2 linked regions of the Mus musculus genome follow. The protein of the gene in region 2 binds, or shares a complex with, the protein of the main gene of each other region. Links are inferred from orthologs where the notes say so. Each region holds a gene or a part of one and is shown on either strand. Other genes may lie near its edges. The genes, in order: Twistnb and Polr1e.

The links.
Region 1: Polr1e (region 2) and Twistnb share a complex: the UniProt entries of both Homo sapiens proteins name them as parts of the RNA polymerase I (Pol I) complex. The link is inferred for Mus musculus from reciprocal best matches to the Homo sapiens genes POLR1E and POLR1F.

Annotation. Positions count from the first base shown.
Region 1 is NC_000078.6:33,432,417-33,436,232, reverse strand, and holds part of Twistnb (DNA-directed RNA polymerase I subunit RPA43), read right to left. Parts: intron 2,729-3,816; coding exon 2,587-2,728; intron 1-2,586. UniProt on the Homo sapiens protein: Component of RNA polymerase I (Pol I), a DNA-dependent RNA polymerase which synthesizes ribosomal RNA precursors using the four ribonucleoside triphosphates as substrates.
Region 2 is NC_000070.6:45,017,156-45,021,474, reverse strand, and holds the start of Polr1e (DNA-directed RNA polymerase I subunit RPA49), read right to left. Parts: upstream 2,867-4,319; 5' UTR 2,804-2,866; coding exon 2,683-2,803; intron 2,202-2,682; coding exon 2,098-2,201; intron 1-2,097. UniProt on the Homo sapiens protein: Component of RNA polymerase I (Pol I), a DNA-dependent RNA polymerase which synthesizes ribosomal RNA precursors using the four ribonucleoside triphosphates as substrates.

The sequences.
Region 1 (3,816 bases), on a different chromosome or scaffold from region 2:
ATCTGCCTAGAGCCAGACAAAAACTTGTAGTGTTCCTGTAAATAACCCTAGTAATACTCACTGGTTTACAAAGTTAGGCTTTAGTGATATTGGTCTGTCATGGGGTTCCTATCTGGAGTGAGAAACCAGCTCCTCAAGAAAAGGCTTACTGCACAAAAGCATGGACAAGACCTACACAAACCCAAGCCAAACAAAATCCCAGCATGGAGAGACACAAAGTCCTCACCCCAGCTGAGGAGCTGTTGGCATTTAATTGCTAGTGGAGAGGGAAATTCAGTTCTACTTAATGGTGCGATACCTGGCATACCAAGGACACTCGCAGTAGGGCCCCATGTCCAGGGGTCAGCCAAAACAAACTGGACTTAAAAAAGAGATAACATGAGTCAGGTGGGAGAGGGAGGAGCTGGGAAGATTACGGGAATGGAGTGAATATAATCAAACTAAAGTATATAAAGCTCTCAAATACAGTAATTAGTTTTAAAAACTTCAGTTAAACCCCTTATCAGATTAGGTCAAGTGGAAGAAATGACGACAAAGCTTGAACAGAATTCTTTTGAATTATCACATTCAAAAAAAAAAAATGAAAGGGGAAAAAATTAGAACAGTAATTAAGATCTTTGAAACACCATGAAAGAAAATAACTATATAAATGGTGTTCTCGAAGGAGAGGGAAGTGAAGGGCAAAGACAAAAACTACAGAATCATGTGCAAGAAATTTATAGAACTCTCAAACAGCCAAACCATTTACAACCAAATTTTCAAAGATATAGGACAAAGAATTTTCAAATTTTTCAGAGAAAAATCTCCAGGCCACAGTTAAAAGTAACCTGTTTACATTAATAGCAAATTTATCAGGAAAAGAAAGAAACAAAAATAAATAAACAAACTCAGAAAACCAGGAAAATCAATCCAGTAGGCCAAGTAGGTACAGGTTAACAAGCTTCAATCCCTAAAATAAAGTAACTGTCAGTCGTGACTACCACATCCTATAAACTAGTAGCAAGGATATTCTATGAAAGTAAGAAACAATGATTTTCTAAGATAAGTAAAACCTAAGAGCATTTGTGATTATCTTATAAAAAAAAAAGAAAGAAAGAAAAAAAGAAATGCTTATGGGAGTCCTACAACCCAAAGTAGAAGAAAGAACACTAGCATCAAGACAATTATATAGGCCCGGAGGGAAGGCTTAGTGGTTAGGAGCACTGGCTGGTCTTCCAGGCACCTGAGTTTGATTCTCAGCACTCATATGGCAGCGCACACTCTGTCCTGGGTATCTGAGGCCCTCTTCTGGCCTCTGTAGGCATTACATGCAAACAGTGAACAGACAAAACATTCAGAGTACATAAATGATAGTGTCAGAGTAACCGTCACTGCACTAGTCACACAAGAGAAATAACAGAATCAAATGAGATCGACAGAGTAAATCATCAATCTATAGAGATAAATAAAAGAAGGAATAAAATAATATCCAAAGCTGAATGTAAAAGCGAATAAAAAGAACCATCTTGCTTTGCAAGCCAGTTAAAGTAAGTGTGTGTATGTGTGTGTGTGTATTCTTTTTCTTTGAGGACTCTGAATGGAATTACAGGAGAAATGTCAGAGTTAATATTCAAAATATAAAGAACAAAAAAGTAAGTCAATTAAAAATGGGCAAATGATCTGACTAAACATACCTCAAAAGAAGTAGAAGTAACCAATAAACATTTAGCCACAAGGGAAATCCAAAGCACAGTTTCAATGATCTATCTGCAATGGCTAGGCACTCTCAAAGCTTGACAGGGTTTAGAATTACCTAGTATACTACTAGCTACTAGCACACTCCTGGGTGTGTCTATGAGACAGTTTCCATAGAGGATTAACAGAGCTGCGAAAGAACCAAGGCTGGGGCTCAGAGAGAGTAAGAGAAAAGTAGAAATCGAGTCCGACCAGTATTCCTTTCTCTGCTTCTTGGCCCAGCAGGATGAAAACGTCTTCCTTGCCATGTAAAGCAGAAGCCAAACAAAACCTTCATCCTTCGAGCTTTTTCTGTCAAGTATTTTGTTACAGCAACAAGAAAATGACTCGCTATTCCACCTAGAGAGTTAATAACCACAAAACTGACATACTGAAAAGCTGTGAAAGAAACAAGCTCCTCTGTGACTGTAAACCAGCAGACGTTACAGGAACTACTAAAAAGGAAGTGCTGCCACGTGACCATAACAACCCAAGAGAAGTAAACTCAACACTGAGCACCCGCCCGTGCTTACACGGCACTACTCAGTCAGTCTACACACCTGTCAGGAGATGACTGGCTAACCCGAGTTTACACACACAGTGCAATACAGTGGAATAAACATCCACCCAGAAGAATGAATTCCTGTGATCTGCAGCAATGAAGAGCGCTGAAGTGTGTCACGTTAGTGAAGTAAACAGGCACTGACAGACAATTACAGCTTCCTCTCCTATGTGGAAACTGAAGTTCCTTTTTAAAGGAACCTGGGAGAGAAGTGTGATTATTAGGGAGTAGGAAGGGTGCTAAACCAGGGTGGGGGTTCACAGAGAAAAAATGTTGTAAAGGACGTAAGAAAAGAAAAATGATGTACATACCATTAACGTCTGCCCAGGCTCAGGGCAGAAAATAACAAAATCTGCTTCAATGTTAAGATGAATGTGTCCTTGATCATCATAAATATCTCCTAGTTCACCCACAACTCTGATGTTATCATATGCAATAGGGACACCTAAAAGGCTGTTAAGGGGGAAAAGATACTGTTAATTCTAGTTAAAGATAATCTACTGTTACCTCTGATATACCACCCTTTCCCAAACATAACGGCATCACCTAGTCTTATAGACTAGCACTAGCAGATCTTAGCAATTACAGCTTATCAAAAAACTCCAATGTCTTAGTTAAGTTAAAGTGACCGTCTGCATGGGTATTCAGAACTATGCACTGGTAATAAACTGACACGCACATGCTACCTATCTGAACCAGTCATACAGGGGCAATAATGGGCCTAAGCAAGGAAAACATCTAGATACTGTATGACTGAATACAGGCAACTGTGACACAACCTACTATTACTAGTTTCTATGTGATACTATATAAGGGAAGCTTGACTGTTTAAGCTACAGTCTCTGATCACTGGAACCAATGACTTAATTACAGAAAAATACCAAACTAAAACCTTTTCTAGTGAAAAGACATGTTAATGTACATAACCATATCATTTGAGAGCTGACCCTTAGTAGACACATTTCAAGTCGAGACTAACAAGCCATGATTAATTGTAAAAAGCCAGTTAACTAAGACAGACATATGAGCTTTCTTATTTCTCCCACATGAAAAATTTCCTGAAGGAAATTCCCCTGACTCCCCCATCCAAAGAAAGAAAATCACTTCTTTACCACATGTAAAAATGTATTACTAATTGTAACCTAATTTTATTGAATCCATCTGTATATGTTTAGATTCAAAACACAAGTCTAAGGCCATGAACAGCAGAAATGTTTTATTGGTCTCAATTTCTAGTACAGTTCATCTAAAGAGAAAGGATTTCTCTATAATAGATTTCATTCTAGTGAAACAGCCACAACCCATAGGAAAGGAATTGCAATAGTTACCAAATTAGGAAACCCATAAACTCAGATCTTCCAAGAAGAGTACTCTTGAATGTTTAGCTTCTACACATGGCTTACTTAAGCAAGAGTCATACATCACTAAGACAATATGAGGGACATTGAAAACAAAACAAAAGGAAAAACAAAAAGTATCCACCAAAACTGCCAGGGGAAAAACAACCTCTGTTTCTACTAAAAACCTCCTCTCAATAAAAT
Region 2 (4,319 bases):
TAATCCCAGCACTCAGGAGGCAGAGACAGGTGGATCTCTGTGAGTTCGAGACCCGCCTGGTGTAAAAAGCAAGTCCTGGAGAGCCAGGGCTATTCCACAGAGAAATAGCAACCACACAAACAAGCAAACAAACAATGCTTTGCGATTCCATCACGCCCCAGTCAGAACAGCTATCACCGAGAAAACAACTAACAACAAATGCTGGCAGAGATGTGGGGAAAGAACCGTTACTCACTGCTGGTGGGAGTGCAAGCTATTGCTGCCACAGTGGAAGTCAGTGTGGAGGGGTCTCAAAAACTACAAGTGGAAGTGCTGTGTGAGGCAGCTGGACCACTCTTAGGCATACACCCAGAAGGCTCTTCAGTTAGCACACTGTATTGTACTTCTACAATCATGGTTACTGCTGCACGATTCACAACAGCCAGGAAATGGAACCAGCTTAGATGCGCATCAATGACAAAAACAGATAAAGAAAATAGGTTTTCCTCTCCTATGCAGAATCTAGATTTAGAGTGTGTGTGTGTGTGTGTGTGTGTGTGTGTGTGTGAATATGCACACATTCAAGGCATGAGAGTTGAAAGGAATCATAAGAGGTGCAAAAGAAGGGAAACGAGAGGCTGATATAGTATGTATGTAATGAGATATAATGTTGATGTGTTGAGAGTGCTTTGCCTTTATGCACACATGCATGCCTTATCTATGACGTGCCCACAGGAACCAGGAGTGGGTGTTGTGTTCTCAGGAACTAGAATTATAGACAGTTGCTACCTCCATGTGGGTTCAGGGATTGAACCCCGGTCCCCTGGAAGTGCTCTTTAATGCTGAGGCACCTCTCCAGCCCAGTATGTATGTCATGAAAGAGCGACTTATTTGGGAGGGAGGCAAGGGACCAGCAGGAGGGGGATATGGGGGAGGGCAGTGGGCAGAAGGCAGTGGGAATACAGATGAAAATAGCAGTTCTTGAATAAGCAGCACAACGAACTATACAGTGAGGTCTTGGTCTCCTAGCACTTATAGGTACCTAACTGATCCTATACATAACTGCCTTGTGACCTTTCTGACGTTAGCTCGTCCTATGAGGGCTGGCTTCCCATCGCAGCCAAGCTTTTCTTCTCCCTCGTTCACTAGGGCACCAAACATCTGCTATCAAATCGTCCCTCATTCCCATTCACCCTTCTCAGGAAGGCATTCAGACAAGCTGAGACTTGTTTCCTACAGAGCTCCCTCCCCAGGCCCTAAACACTCCCTTAGACCCCAAGCTAGCTCTACTGTATGCCTGTACTACTTGGTGAATTTGAGTCTCTGGAAAGCAGACCGGTCTTAACCCTGGCATCTACCCGGGAGAGACCAGAGATGCTAGTAAGCATCCTGTGGAGCTGGGTGGTGGTGGCACAGGCCTTTAATCCCAGATCCCTGCACTCAGGAGGCAGAGACAGGTAGATCTCTAAGTTCAAGGCCAACCCGAGCTGTACAAAGAAACCTTTGAAAAAACAAGCAAACAAACAAACAAAAAAACCATCACTCTGGGGTCACATTTGATTCACAAGCATCTGTAACCCCAGTTCTAGGGGATCCAATGCCCACTTCTGGCTTCCACTAGCTACACACACATTGTACATAGACAAAAATGAACAACACCCATACACATAAAATAGGGTTGAAGCTGAGCTCTGAACAGTGACCTCCCTAAGAGGTGCAAATCCCATGAAGATGCTTCCTTAGCCTGCGGCATGAGGACATGGTGAACGTTCAATAAGGTCATGTAGGGGGACAACTTATGAAGCCAGGGGTGGGTGGTGCTGCACACCTTTAATCCCAGCACTACGGAGTCAGAGACAGGTGGTGATTCTCTGAGTTCAAAGCCAGCCAGGTCTATATAGTAATTTCCAGGATAGCCAGGGCTACAGGAAGAAACCCTGTCTGGAAAGATAAAGCCCATATAAGTGAAAAGCCCAAAATCTTGCTCCTCAGTGGGGCCAGAGTCTCATTTGCTACTCCTCCTTTCCTCCCCCCCAGGCCAGGTCTCCCATGTCTGCCCACACCAAGAACCTTTTGAGGTCTGCAGAGCCCAGACCATCTGTACCAGCAAGCACTTACCACGATCCGGTGACTCCTCTGCCTGGGGTTTACTAAGTCGGTGCTGTTGTACAAGGTGAAGCGCATGTCGCCCGGATTCTGCAGCTTCCCATTGGAGAACTGGACTGTAAGAGTGTAAGCCAAGAATAAGAGGCGAGGACCAGCAGGGTATGGATGGGGAGACCTGCACTGTGGCTGGACGCCGGTAGTGAAGGCAAGGGAGCTTAAGTCCGACTTTCGGGGGGCGGGGGGGTATGAAGAAAGCCCTGGTCCAGTTCTAAAGAGGGAGATGGAGGAGGGGAGGGGAAGTGACCTCTGGGCAGGGGTTGTGACAAAAGAGAACGACTGAGGAAATGCCATTAACTGGCAAGAGAGGAAACTCTGCTCCGTAGAGGGGGGAAAAGGGCAAATGAGAGAGCTGTGGAGATGTCAGGTCCCTGGGCACTGCCCTGAGACGAGTCCGAAGTGGTGACGATAGATGAATGCGGAGGGAAAAGGTGATGGTGGCAGGGAACCTGTCCCGGCTGCAGGCAGTGGGCTACCGTGGTACCCAGACAGAAGCGGAAAGGATTACGCGGAACTCCGCTCCGGGTCGGCGGTCTTTACCCAGCACAGCTTTCTGCCTGTCGTCGGGCTCTCCACAGTACAGCCACCTTGCACTCTGTAGCGCCTCTGTCTCCGTGTCTCCAGCCTGGTCATCCATCCCAGGAGACTCCAGAGTAGCCATGAGCTCGCCGGTTCACACGCGGACTCAAAAACCGGAAGTGACATTCTAGGCCCCGCCCAGGGTACACCAGCAGTAAGGCCACGCCCCTCACTGGATCGCGTCCCCGCCCACTCTTTGGTTCTTTCCCTTGAGGATCACACCCTCCCCCTTGCAGGAGGATGCAGTAACTCCCCTTTCGTCTCGGACCTCCAGGAGAGCAGCTTCACTTTTGTGTTGTATTGCTCACCGCAGGCTCTAAGCTGTGGGACCAGTCACACCAAAATCTCCAGAACTGTGAACCAAAATAAAAGAAACCGTTCCTCTTTATGAGCTGTCTTCATTTTGTGTTGTTATTGTCGTTTAAGGCCGGCTATCACCATGTGTGTAATCCTGGTTGGTCTGGAACTCATTCTGTGAAACATAATGGCCTCAAATTCACGGAGATTAGACCACCAGCTTTGTCTCACATATTTTGTTAAGGTAATAGAAAAAAACTGACTAATGTAGGGTTTCTCCCTGAGTAATTTCAATGCAGCCACCCAAATAAGAGAGCTAACAGTGATTCAACCATGTAATCTTGTAGTATTCAATTTCCCCAACGGCCTTGATACTGCCTTTTCAGCTAAAAGAGCCTGTCAGAAACCGTGTTGCAGCCTTACACTTGTAATCCCAGCATTTAAGAGCAGGGCTGCCATGAATTTGAGGCAAGTTCAAGTGAGAACTGTCACACATACACACAAATTATACTTTGCTTCTAGCTGTCACAACTCTTTGGTTGGAAGGTTACACTTTCTTTGACTCTACCCAGTGATTTTCTATTGATTCTTTCCAGAAAGGAAAAAAGAATATAAAAGGACTTAGTTAACTAATTAGTCATCCCCCCTTCTGTCAGAATCTTTTCCATACTCAGTTTATTTGAGGTTAGTAATGAATGGTAGAGCCTATTAGAAACATTTCACTTTTTAAATTATTAATTTATTTGGGTCCCAAGAGGGAATGTATGGTAAAGCAAAACTGCTCATCTGGTGGTCAAGGATGAAAGGAGGAAGAAGGGACTGAGGTCTCTGTTCCTTTTGGGCTCAGGTTGTCTTCAAACTCCACTTGTTCTGTGCCTGAGGGTGACTCCCCATCCTCTTGCCAAGTGCTGAGATTACATACACACACCATCACACCCAGCCAGAAAGAAAGTTTATTTCATTTCTTTCACTTCTGCACCTCCAACTCCTGAAAGGTCCTGTAAAAAAAAAAAGTGGGGGGGGGGGGGACCTCAGCAAATGTTGAGTGAGAGGTCTGGAAAAAGCTCAGTGGATAAAGGCACTTGCTACCAAGTTTGATGGTCTTCCTAGGACCCACCTGGTGGAAGAAGAGAGCTTACTCGGTAGCATACATCTGCATGCACACACAAAATAAATCAATGTAAAATAAAATTTAAAAATGAGCGAATGAAGGAAAGGGTAGGTAATAGAGTAGACCAGGTCATCAATCCTTGGAGCCTAACTAAGTCAGGGAGCGCACCTCAGAAATACTAATGTTCTTG